Linked DNA regions of Sus scrofa. The protein of the gene in region 1 interacts with the protein of each later gene in a pairwise test. Links are inferred from orthologs where the notes say so. Each region holds a gene or a part of one and is shown in the gene's direction. Other genes may lie near its edges.

The links.
Region 2: the proteins of BRAP (region 1) and NUMA1 interact in a two-hybrid assay, tested with the Homo sapiens proteins (2 studies listed by BioGRID and IntAct). The link is inferred for Sus scrofa from reciprocal best matches to the Homo sapiens genes BRAP and NUMA1.

What each region holds. Positions count from the first base shown.
Region 1 is NC_010456.5:32,820,693-32,825,118, reverse strand, and holds part of BRAP (BRCA1-associated protein), read left to right. Parts: intron 1-282; coding exon 283-431; intron 432-4,426. UniProt on the Homo sapiens protein: Negatively regulates MAP kinase activation by limiting the formation of Raf/MEK complexes probably by inactivation of the KSR1 scaffold protein.
Region 2 is NC_010451.4:6,659,458-6,664,394, reverse strand, and holds the start of NUMA1 (nuclear mitotic apparatus protein 1), read left to right. Parts: upstream 1-1,428; 5' UTR 1,429-1,605; intron 1,606-1,628; exon of another isoform or gene 1,629-1,743; intron 1,744-4,937. UniProt on the Homo sapiens protein: Microtubule (MT)-binding protein that plays a role in the formation and maintenance of the spindle poles and the alignement and the segregation of chromosomes during mitotic cell division.

The sequences.
Region 1 (4,426 bases):
TTCCTGGAATGTCAGCTCCACCAGGACAGGATCTTTGTCTGCTTTGTTCACTAGGGTGTCCCGAGTGCCCAGCACAGTGCTGGGACTATAGGATATGCTAAATTAGTATTTGTTGCATGGATGAAAATCTTACCAATTTAGGTTATTTTCCACAGAGCAATAATACTGGGAACATCCTGCCAGGAATCAAAAAGTAACAGGAAAACTGTTACTTAAAAAAAAAGAAAAAAAGTTTGAACCCGTGGATGATGAGTGAGGCTTATTCAAGGTGTTTCCCTGTAGGGTGCCAGCCTCCCCGTGATGGACCTGACCGAGCTCCCCAAGTGCACGGTGTGTCTGGAGCGCATGGACGAGTCCGTGAATGGCATCCTCACCACCTTATGTAACCACAGCTTCCACAGCCAGTGTCTACAGCGCTGGGACGACACGACGTGAGTGCGGGAGCTCACCCCCCACCCTGTCAAAGTGCATTGTTATCCCTTCCTAGGATTAAGAACGGCCACCTCCCAAGATGAAACACTCCAAGTATTTGAATTTATAAGCCTGGGTAGCAGGATGATAAAGATGACACATAGAAGGGCCTTCCACATTGCTTCTTCACTTTCCTCAGCTCAGGTGGGAGTCAGCATTCCTAGACCAAGTCCTGTTGGTATGCTGATTCCAAATCCTTGTGGAATGTCCCAGAGCAGCACAAGTTGTTCTTTCAAGACCCAGAAAATGAGAAGGAAGAAAAGAAAAAGTAAAGCATGACTTCGAGGCTCATGTCAAAATGACTTCTAGGTCTAGGAGTTCCCATCGTGGCGCAGCGGAAATGAATCCGACTAGGAACCATAAGGTTGCGGGTTCAATCCCTGGCCTTGCTCAGTGGGTTAAGGATCCAGCATTGCCCTGAGCTGTGGTGTAGGTCGCAGACGCGGCTCGGATCTGGCGTTGCTGTGGCTCTGGCGCAGGCCGACAGCCGCAGCTCCGATTAGACCCCTTGCCTGGGAACCTCCATGTGCCTCAGGCACTGACCTTAAAAGACAGGAAAAAAAATGATGTCTGGGTTTAAAATCTTGTTTATCGCTTGCATTTCATGTCTACCATTTACTTTGGCTTTCTTACCAAAGATTGCTGGGCTACAGAAATCTCACATCTTGGGTTTATTGTGCTATTGATGACTCAGTGGCCAGTAGTAACACTAATAACTAAGTGTGAGACACACACACCATTGTGGTGTCCTGTTTCCGGACGCAGCAGAGGCTTTATTTGTCGGGTGGCATTATGTAGACAAAGAAATGAGGTATAACCTGTATGGTTTGTTTTGTTTTGTTTCATCAAAGGTTGCTGCTCCCTTTGCAAACTGTGTTGTGGGTCTTAGCTAGACCCTGGCCTCATGGATTTCTCAGTACAGAGGGGAAGGTGCAAAATCAAATAATCACACAAATAACTGAAGTCACAGACACCAAAAGTGTTACAAAGAAGCAGTGTTGTGACTAGAGAATAGGCCCTGACGCAGCCAGCACTGACTGGGAGGCAGTATCTCAGGGAAGATGCATGGGGATTAGCCACATGAAGGGTAGGACCCAGAGAGGGTGGTGTCGGGGAGGGGCATGCACAAAGGGAAAGATCACATCCCAAAGCCCAGGAGGGAGGAGAGGTGAAAGTCCATGGGAATCCTTCCCTGTTCTCCACCTCCTTGCGAGCAGAGACCTTGTCTGGCTGGTGACTGCTTTGCCCCTCACACTTAGCAAGACACATGGGATGCAGGGGGAACTATGTAAATATCTTTGAGCAAATTAATAAACCCTGGCTTTTCCATGGCTAATTAAACTGAAGGGGAATCTTGCCCCAGTTCTGTAGAGTCCTTGGTCACTTCTGGGGTATCATTTGGGGGTTCTTCAGGGAATTGTCCAGGTTTAAATTTGCCTTGAATAAAGCCAAGCTGAGATGTATGCATTCCATAAAGTTTTATTTGTATCTTGTATCCATCTGTTACAGCATTTAAGGTCAGGATGCTTCTTTGTTTTCCCGCCGCTCCAGATTTTTATTTTCTTTCAGTCAAAGTATTGATTTACAGTATCATGTTTCAGCCAGTACAGCACAGCGATTGTTATGCATATATATACTTTTTGAAAATCTTTTCCCTTATACAGTTCCCTGTGCTATACCACCATTCCAGCTTTATTTTCAGTACAAGTTAACAATTGTAGAACCAGGAGTTCCCATTGTGGCGCAGTGGTTAACGAATCCGACTAGGAACCATGAGGTTGCGGGTTCGGTCCCTGCCCTTGCTCAGGGGGTTAAGGATCCAGCGTTGCTGTGAGCTGTGGTGTAGGTTGCAGACGCAGCTCGGATCCCCCGTTGCTGTGGCCCTGGCGTAGGCCAGCAGCTACAGCTCGGATTAGACCCCTCGGCTGGGAAGCTCCATATGCCACAGGAGCGGCCCAAGAAATGGCAAAAAGACAAAAAAAAAAAAAAAAAAAAAAAAAAAAATTGTAGAACCATAGCTGTTTCAAGTTGGAAGTTTCCTCAGAGACTATCTTGTCCAACCTCCTCATTTTACAGGAGAGGAAACTGAGGCTTAGAAGTGAAATTAGCGTGCTCAAAGTGTCAGAATAGTGAATGCTGGAACTGGGACCAGAATTCAGCCCACCTGGCAGCTGCCCTCAAAACCATACAGTGCCTTCAGCAGGGGGTTTTTGAGCCTTTGTATATGCACACTTCATTGCCAAGGTGGGGAGAGTCACTCGTCCTCCTTAGGGACATTGAGGCTGCTAAGGGAGAACCACATATCCGTATATACTTAGAGCTCAAGGTAGAGACTAGAGATGGAGGTGGCTCCCCCATGGGGGTGGCCTGGAAGGCCTGCTTACATAAGATAGTATTGGCACCAGGCCTCAAAGGGTGGTTTCTTGTCAGGGAAGGTCATTCTGACAGGATTTCTCCAAGTATCTCCTCAGGAAAATAAGATGACAATTCACAATTATTTTTGAAGGGGCAGCAGGAGGAATTTAATAAGCTGTTTTTTGCTTTTTTGCTTTTTAGGGCCACACTTGTGGCATATGGAAGTTCCGGAGGCTAGGGGTCAAATTCGAACAACAGCTGCTGGCCTACAGCACAGCCACAGCAATGCAGGATCCCAAACCCACTGAGCAAGTCCGGGGATCAAACCCACATCTTCATGGATAGTAGATGGATTTGTTTCCGCTCGCCACAACAAGAACTCCCAATTATTTTTTATAATCTTTTTTTTTTTTTTTTTTTTTTTTTTTTTTTGTCTTTTGTTGTTGTTGTTGTTGCTATTTCTTGGGCCGCTCCCGCAGCATATGGAGGTTCCCAGGCTAGGGGTTGAATCGGAGCTGTAGCCACCGGCCTATGCCAGAGCCACAGCAACGCGGGATCCGAGCCGCGCCGCGTCTGCAACCTACACCACAGCTCATGGCAACGCCAGATCGTTAACCCACTGAGCAAGGGCAGGGACCGAACCCACAACCTCATGGTTCCTAGTCGGATTCGTTAACCACTGCGCCACGACGGGAACTCCCCAATTATTTTTTAATATAGAGAGGAGATGGTATATCACAGAGTGCTAATAATATAGTACACATACGTTTACTTTTGTAATTTTTCCCCCTTTTGCCTTCTTATTCTCAGGATCATACATTTCTGAAAAATCATTCTGAAACAGTGTAGAAAATTAAATTTCAGAATTCCGCCACTACTACAGCCACCACAAAGACTGAAGGGATGACCCAGAGCTAGTTTCTCCCTTTGACAAGACTGCTTTCAGTATACTGTTGCCACTTCTGTTATTTCTTCAAGTTTTCCTGTCTTCTCTTTTGATACTGAAAAAAGAGACACAATAAATCCGTTAGCTTTCTCTTGGGAAACATAGTCCTTATCTGTGACAAGGACTTAGTGTTCTTCCTGCTTATTTCCTTTGCTTGGTTTTATTGGTTCACTGGGGTAATCAAGTGAAACAAATTATATTCTTTTTTGCAGGGAGGGGGGGCCTTTTTAGAGCCGAACCCACAGCATATGGAGGTTCCCAGGCTAAGGGTCAAATCAGAGCTATAGCTGCCAGGCCTACACCACAGCCATAGCAATGCTGGATCCAATCCTCATCCGGGACCTAGCACAGCTCAGGGCAACACCAGATCCTTAACCCACTGAGCAAGGCCAGGGATTGAACCTTCGTCCTCATGGATGCTAGTCCGCTGAGCCATGGGGACGCTAGTTATGTCTTGAGCATTCTTCCTTCTTAGTGCCCATTCATTTAGCCTCAAACATAACCCACTTTTCATTTTTGCCCATTGGACAAAAGTGTTCCTGCCTGGTATTTAGCGTTACTTTGTCTTGAATATAATAAACAAGAGTTAATGGTATTTTTTCAATTTCTTTTTTTCCAGTTTCATTGAGGTATAATTGACGGTCAAGAGTTATA
Region 2 (4,937 bases), on another chromosome or scaffold:
CAATTGCCTCTTCACCACTTCCAGGCTATCTCCAAGACAGGCGCCTGCAACACGTCTGCAGGTGAACTCATACTCTCTGGGTACTCCTGGATCTCTTCCGGTGTTCTCCCCTCTCCCCACCATTACGGAGGTCAGAAAACCAAGAGTTACCTTGAATACCCCTTCCATTTCCCATCCAGAATAAATACCTGTCAGCTTTGCTTCCTAAATGTCTTTTCTCTAGTCCGAGCTACCATCACTTCCTTTCTGCCTTCCCTCCCAGCCATTTTGCCTACTGCAACCAGAGTAATCCTGCAAAATGCAAATCTGATATTGTTCACTCCCCCCCACGACAGCCCATTTAAAAACTGTCCCTGGGACAGTTTAATCTACTACTTTGAACACATTCTTAAACTAGAGAGGCTGTAAGCTCAAGCTAGAGACTTAGCTGGAAGTTGGCAAACAGGGATCTAGTCCTAGCTGTCACTGACTTGGTGCGTGGCCTCTGTCACTACTTCTCACTAGGTTGGTTTTCCAGTCTGTGATATGGGATAAATATTCTTGGATTCACAAAGTTCAAAAGAAAGAGGCTGTGAAAGCACTAGGTAAGTTACTAGATGTAACGGATCTGTCATGAAGTCTGGAAAAGGAATGAAGCTCTAATTGCAGACCTTGGGGAGACGGACAACAGAGGAGGTGCAGGGAGAAGAGGTAAAGACAGGACCCCTCCTAAGTATGTGTGGAAGATCCTGCTGACTCTCTGAAAAGGAGGCTCTACTCTGGGTCTTCCTGCCTGGAAGGAAAGGGGCCGTTCAAGCCCCAGAAATTTTCCTACATCCCCAGAATTAGAGACTTTTGATTTGCTCTAATCCCACTCCCATGTCTTGCAGAGGGTCTTCTGTTGATCAGAGGAAAACCAACCCTATATCTGAAGAAGTTTCAGATCTTCCAGAATGTGTCAGGGACTTGAGACAGTAGTATTAGGGGGTCCTATTCTGTGATGATGGCGATCTTAAGCACCCCCACATCTGTATGGGTATTTATCTCCGCCTTCCCCCCCCCCCCCACGAGCCCGTCTATCCCATATGGGTTTGTGCCTTGTCGTTGTGAAAAGGGTTAAGACGGGGTTGTCTCAGATCCCCGAGGAGAGAAGTTCTTAGTTTTTCCTGCGTGCCCCTCCCCGCTCAACTCACCCGCAAGTGCTTCCCCGCCAGCCTCAGCGTCCTACTATCGCAGCGTTACTCGGCGCAACTCCATGGTAACCACCTTCGCCTACAAGTCCCGGCTGGCGCGGTAGGCGCTACCGCGATACCTTCCGCGAGCTGCAGTTCGTGGCGGGTGGGGGCGCCAAGGCCGCGGGTGGTGCTGGGACTTGTAGTTGCTTTTGCCCTCAAGCCGCGGGCCGGGCTCCGGAAGTTGTGGCACCCTTTCTCCCTTCCCACTTCCTTTTCGCGGGTCCTCCAGCGTGCCCTGGGCGTGCGACGCCAGCCGACACGGACCAATCGCAGGGCGGCGCGAGGGGGCGGGGCCATAGTTTAAACTAATTGTGCGCTCGCCTCGCTGGCGCGAGCCCGTGGCGAAGGCGATCCCGGGTAGGCGAGAGGCGGAGCGGGAGCGCGCGGCCAGGTAAGCGGCGCGGGCCCGCTGCTGGTGTGCGGCCTGGGCGCCCGCAGGGAAGCCGGGGCCTAAAGGGGGTGCTGAGAGACGGGTGCGAACGGAAGGCCTCGTTCCTCACCGAGGCTGAGTGGGGAGAGTCTGTCGCGGGTAAGGGTTGTGAGGAGAGGGCCTTGTCCGAGGGGAGGCGGCGGACGTGCTTCGGGGGAGGGCCTGCTCGGGGGCGTGTCCGTGGCATCGAGTCTGCGGGCGACGGGGTGCGGGTGGTGCAGCTTCCTCAAAGCCTGTGGCCGCGGCTTCCTGTAGTAATGGTCCTCGCCCGTTACTGCTAACAATAGCGGTAGTACTACTAGTAAACAGTTCCCGAGCACCGACGACGTTTCAGAGGCTGTGCCACGCCCGTTATGTGGATCCTCTTTTAAACAGTCCCGCAGCTTTGTCACACTTTACTACAGCGGGGCCCTTCTGAGGTTTATGTTCGGCTTGGCCGGGGTTGTATAACCAGTGCGTGGTTGGCTCCACTGGCGTCTTTGTGGGTGGGGCCTGAGTGGGAAGGAGGTGCTTTATTGGCAGTGAGGGTTGTCTCGGACGAGTCAATTTATTGTGAGCCTCACTTTTTCACGTGTGGTGTAAACAACGAGTTTACGTGCCCTTACCTACTTTCCTGGGGTTGTTGGACGGGGGGTGGGGGGTGTGCGGGTCAAATTAGGTAAAGTGTTTCTTTGAAGCGTCTCGGAGAGTACACATTCATGACCATAAGTGATGTGACCGTGTGAAGGTTATTGGTGCAAGAGAGCTCCTCTGGGTGGATGCTGCCCCTTCTGGGCCCCCTCTTTTGCTCACCCCTAAGGTAGCGTTTTTCATCTGGTGTTCGGAGTGTCTGCGCATTTGTCTGCCCTACTAGATAGAGACGGAATATTTTGCCCCTGTATCCTGATGCCTGTGCAGAGTGTGAAATGTATTGTGGCCATTAGTTAACATATGCTTTGAAATGAATGAGCTTTTTTGGGCTGAAAGGGGATAGGAACCTGGCTTTCCCATCTTTATTTAGTGGCTTTTGCATCTCTGTATTAAGTTAGCCTCGTGCCCAGAGTGGCACTGCCTCCAGAAAATATACTACTACTTACTTTAAACCACGCTGCCCTTTCTCTGGGGTCTGTTGCCAGGTCCTGCGTTTCTAAGGCTCTGGATTGGCAAGTGTTGTGGCCAGAAACCTTGGATGGGAAGGGAATTGGAGCTCTCTGCCTTGTGGAGATCTTTCCTGCTGTGAATTGATGAGAGCCTAGAGAGAATGTTCAGATCAGGCTAAGGCAACTTTTAGGCAGCGGGGAAGAGTATATGCATTCCCTCCCTGTCTCTTCCTGGGTGGTATTTTCTCCTTCAGAGGAAGAAACACACACTTCTCTGTAAAAAGCTACAGGGTACTCTTTTCTTGGCCCAAGTTCAAGCAAATGATGACTCATTGTAAAGCCTGAATCTTAATTCAAAGCCAGAAACGATAATTCCTCAAATTAGAACACCTTAACCGAAAGCTCATGTAAGGAATATTTCCATTTAGCGTGTCCTTTAAAAATTTTTTATTTTTTATTTTAATTAATTTTTTTGTTTTGTTTTTGTCTTTTTGGGTCAAGATCTAGATATGTTAGGATGGGAAAAGCACTGCCTCAGATGGCTGAGTAGAGTTGATCAGGGAATGTTTGACAGCTGGGTCTAATTAATAAAACCCTGTGGTCAGTAGGTATGTTGGGGGTCATTTATTTCAGCCTCTTATTCTGTACTCTAAGCATATCAAAAGGTATTGTCTAGACTCAAAACAGCACTTCTAAGAATGAGAACACCCCAAAGGTACTCTGTCTGTGTTGAACGATTCTGATAAATCACAATTATTTTGTGCTGTCAGTGATTATTTCATTTTACCCATTCATGTTTACTGTTTGTTTCCACGATTCTTTCTTGCATTTTATTCCCTCTTTTTGTGTTGGGTAGGTGAATACATCCTTCAGCTGTTTTCATAGTGAGGGTCGGTTAGTGGTAAATACTCTGTGGTGGGAAATATCTTTAATAGGGTTAATAGCTTTAATAGGTTTAATCAGTCTTGATTGGTAGTTTAGCTGGGTACTAGGCTTCCAATTCTTTTTTTTTCTTAGCACTTTGAAAATGTTATTAACCTAACCCTAACCCCATACCCTAACCCTAACCCTAATGTTATTTTACTGAAACTCTGGCATTTTGTTGTTACTCTTGAGAACTGTACTCAAAATTTAACTATTATATCATTGTATGTAACCTGCCTTTTTCTCGGTTGTTGTTGTTGTTTTTTTTTTTAATATATATTTTTTTAGGGCTGCACCCACACATAGGGAGGTTCCCAGGCTAGGGGTCGAATTGGAGCCCCACCCCAGTAGTTGTGTTTTTAATTTTTTAGGAATTTCTATGCTGTTTTCTATAATGGTTCCACCAGTATACTTTCCCACCAGCAGTACATAAGGCTTCACATCCTCCCAGGACTTGTTATTTGTTCTCACTTGTTTTATTTTATTACTTTATTTTACTTTTTTGTTTTCTTTTTATGGTTGCACCTGTGGTGTATGGAACTTCCTGGGCTAGGGGTTGAACCACAGCTGTAGCTGCAGACCTGTGCCACAGCAGCATTGGATCTGAGCCCCATTTGCGACCTATGTTGCAGCTTGTGGCAATGCTAGATCCTTAATCCACTGCGCCAGGCCAGGGATTGAGCCTGCATCCTCACAGAAGCTATGCCAGGTTCTTAACCTGTTGAGCCACATTGGGAACTCCTTCTCTTTGTGATAATAGCCATTCTAACAGGTGTGAGGTGATGTCTTACGGTGTTTTTAATTTGCATTTCTCTGATGATCAGTGATGTTGAGCATCTTTTCATGTGCCCATTGACCATTTGTTTGTTTTCTTTGGAAAAATGTTTATTCAGGTCCTCTGCCCATTTTTGATTTTTTTTTTTTTTATGTTGAGGTGTGTGAGTTCTTTATATATTTTGGATGTTAACCCTTTGTCAGATATATTGTTTATGAATATCTTCTCCCATTCAGTAGGTTGTCTTTTTGTTGTGTTGCTAGTTTCCGTTGCTATACAAAAGCTTTTGATGTAGTTTGATGTAGTCGCATTTGTTTATTTTTGCTTCTCTTTCCCTTGCCTGAAGAGACATATCCCCAAAAATGTTGCTAAGACTGATGTCAAAGAGTGTACTGCCTGTGTTTTCTTCTAGGAGGTATGTGGTTTCAAGTCTTACATTTAAGCCTTTAATTCATTTTGAGTTTATTTTTTGAATTTATTTTTGTATATGGTGTGAGAAAGGACAACGTAGTCCG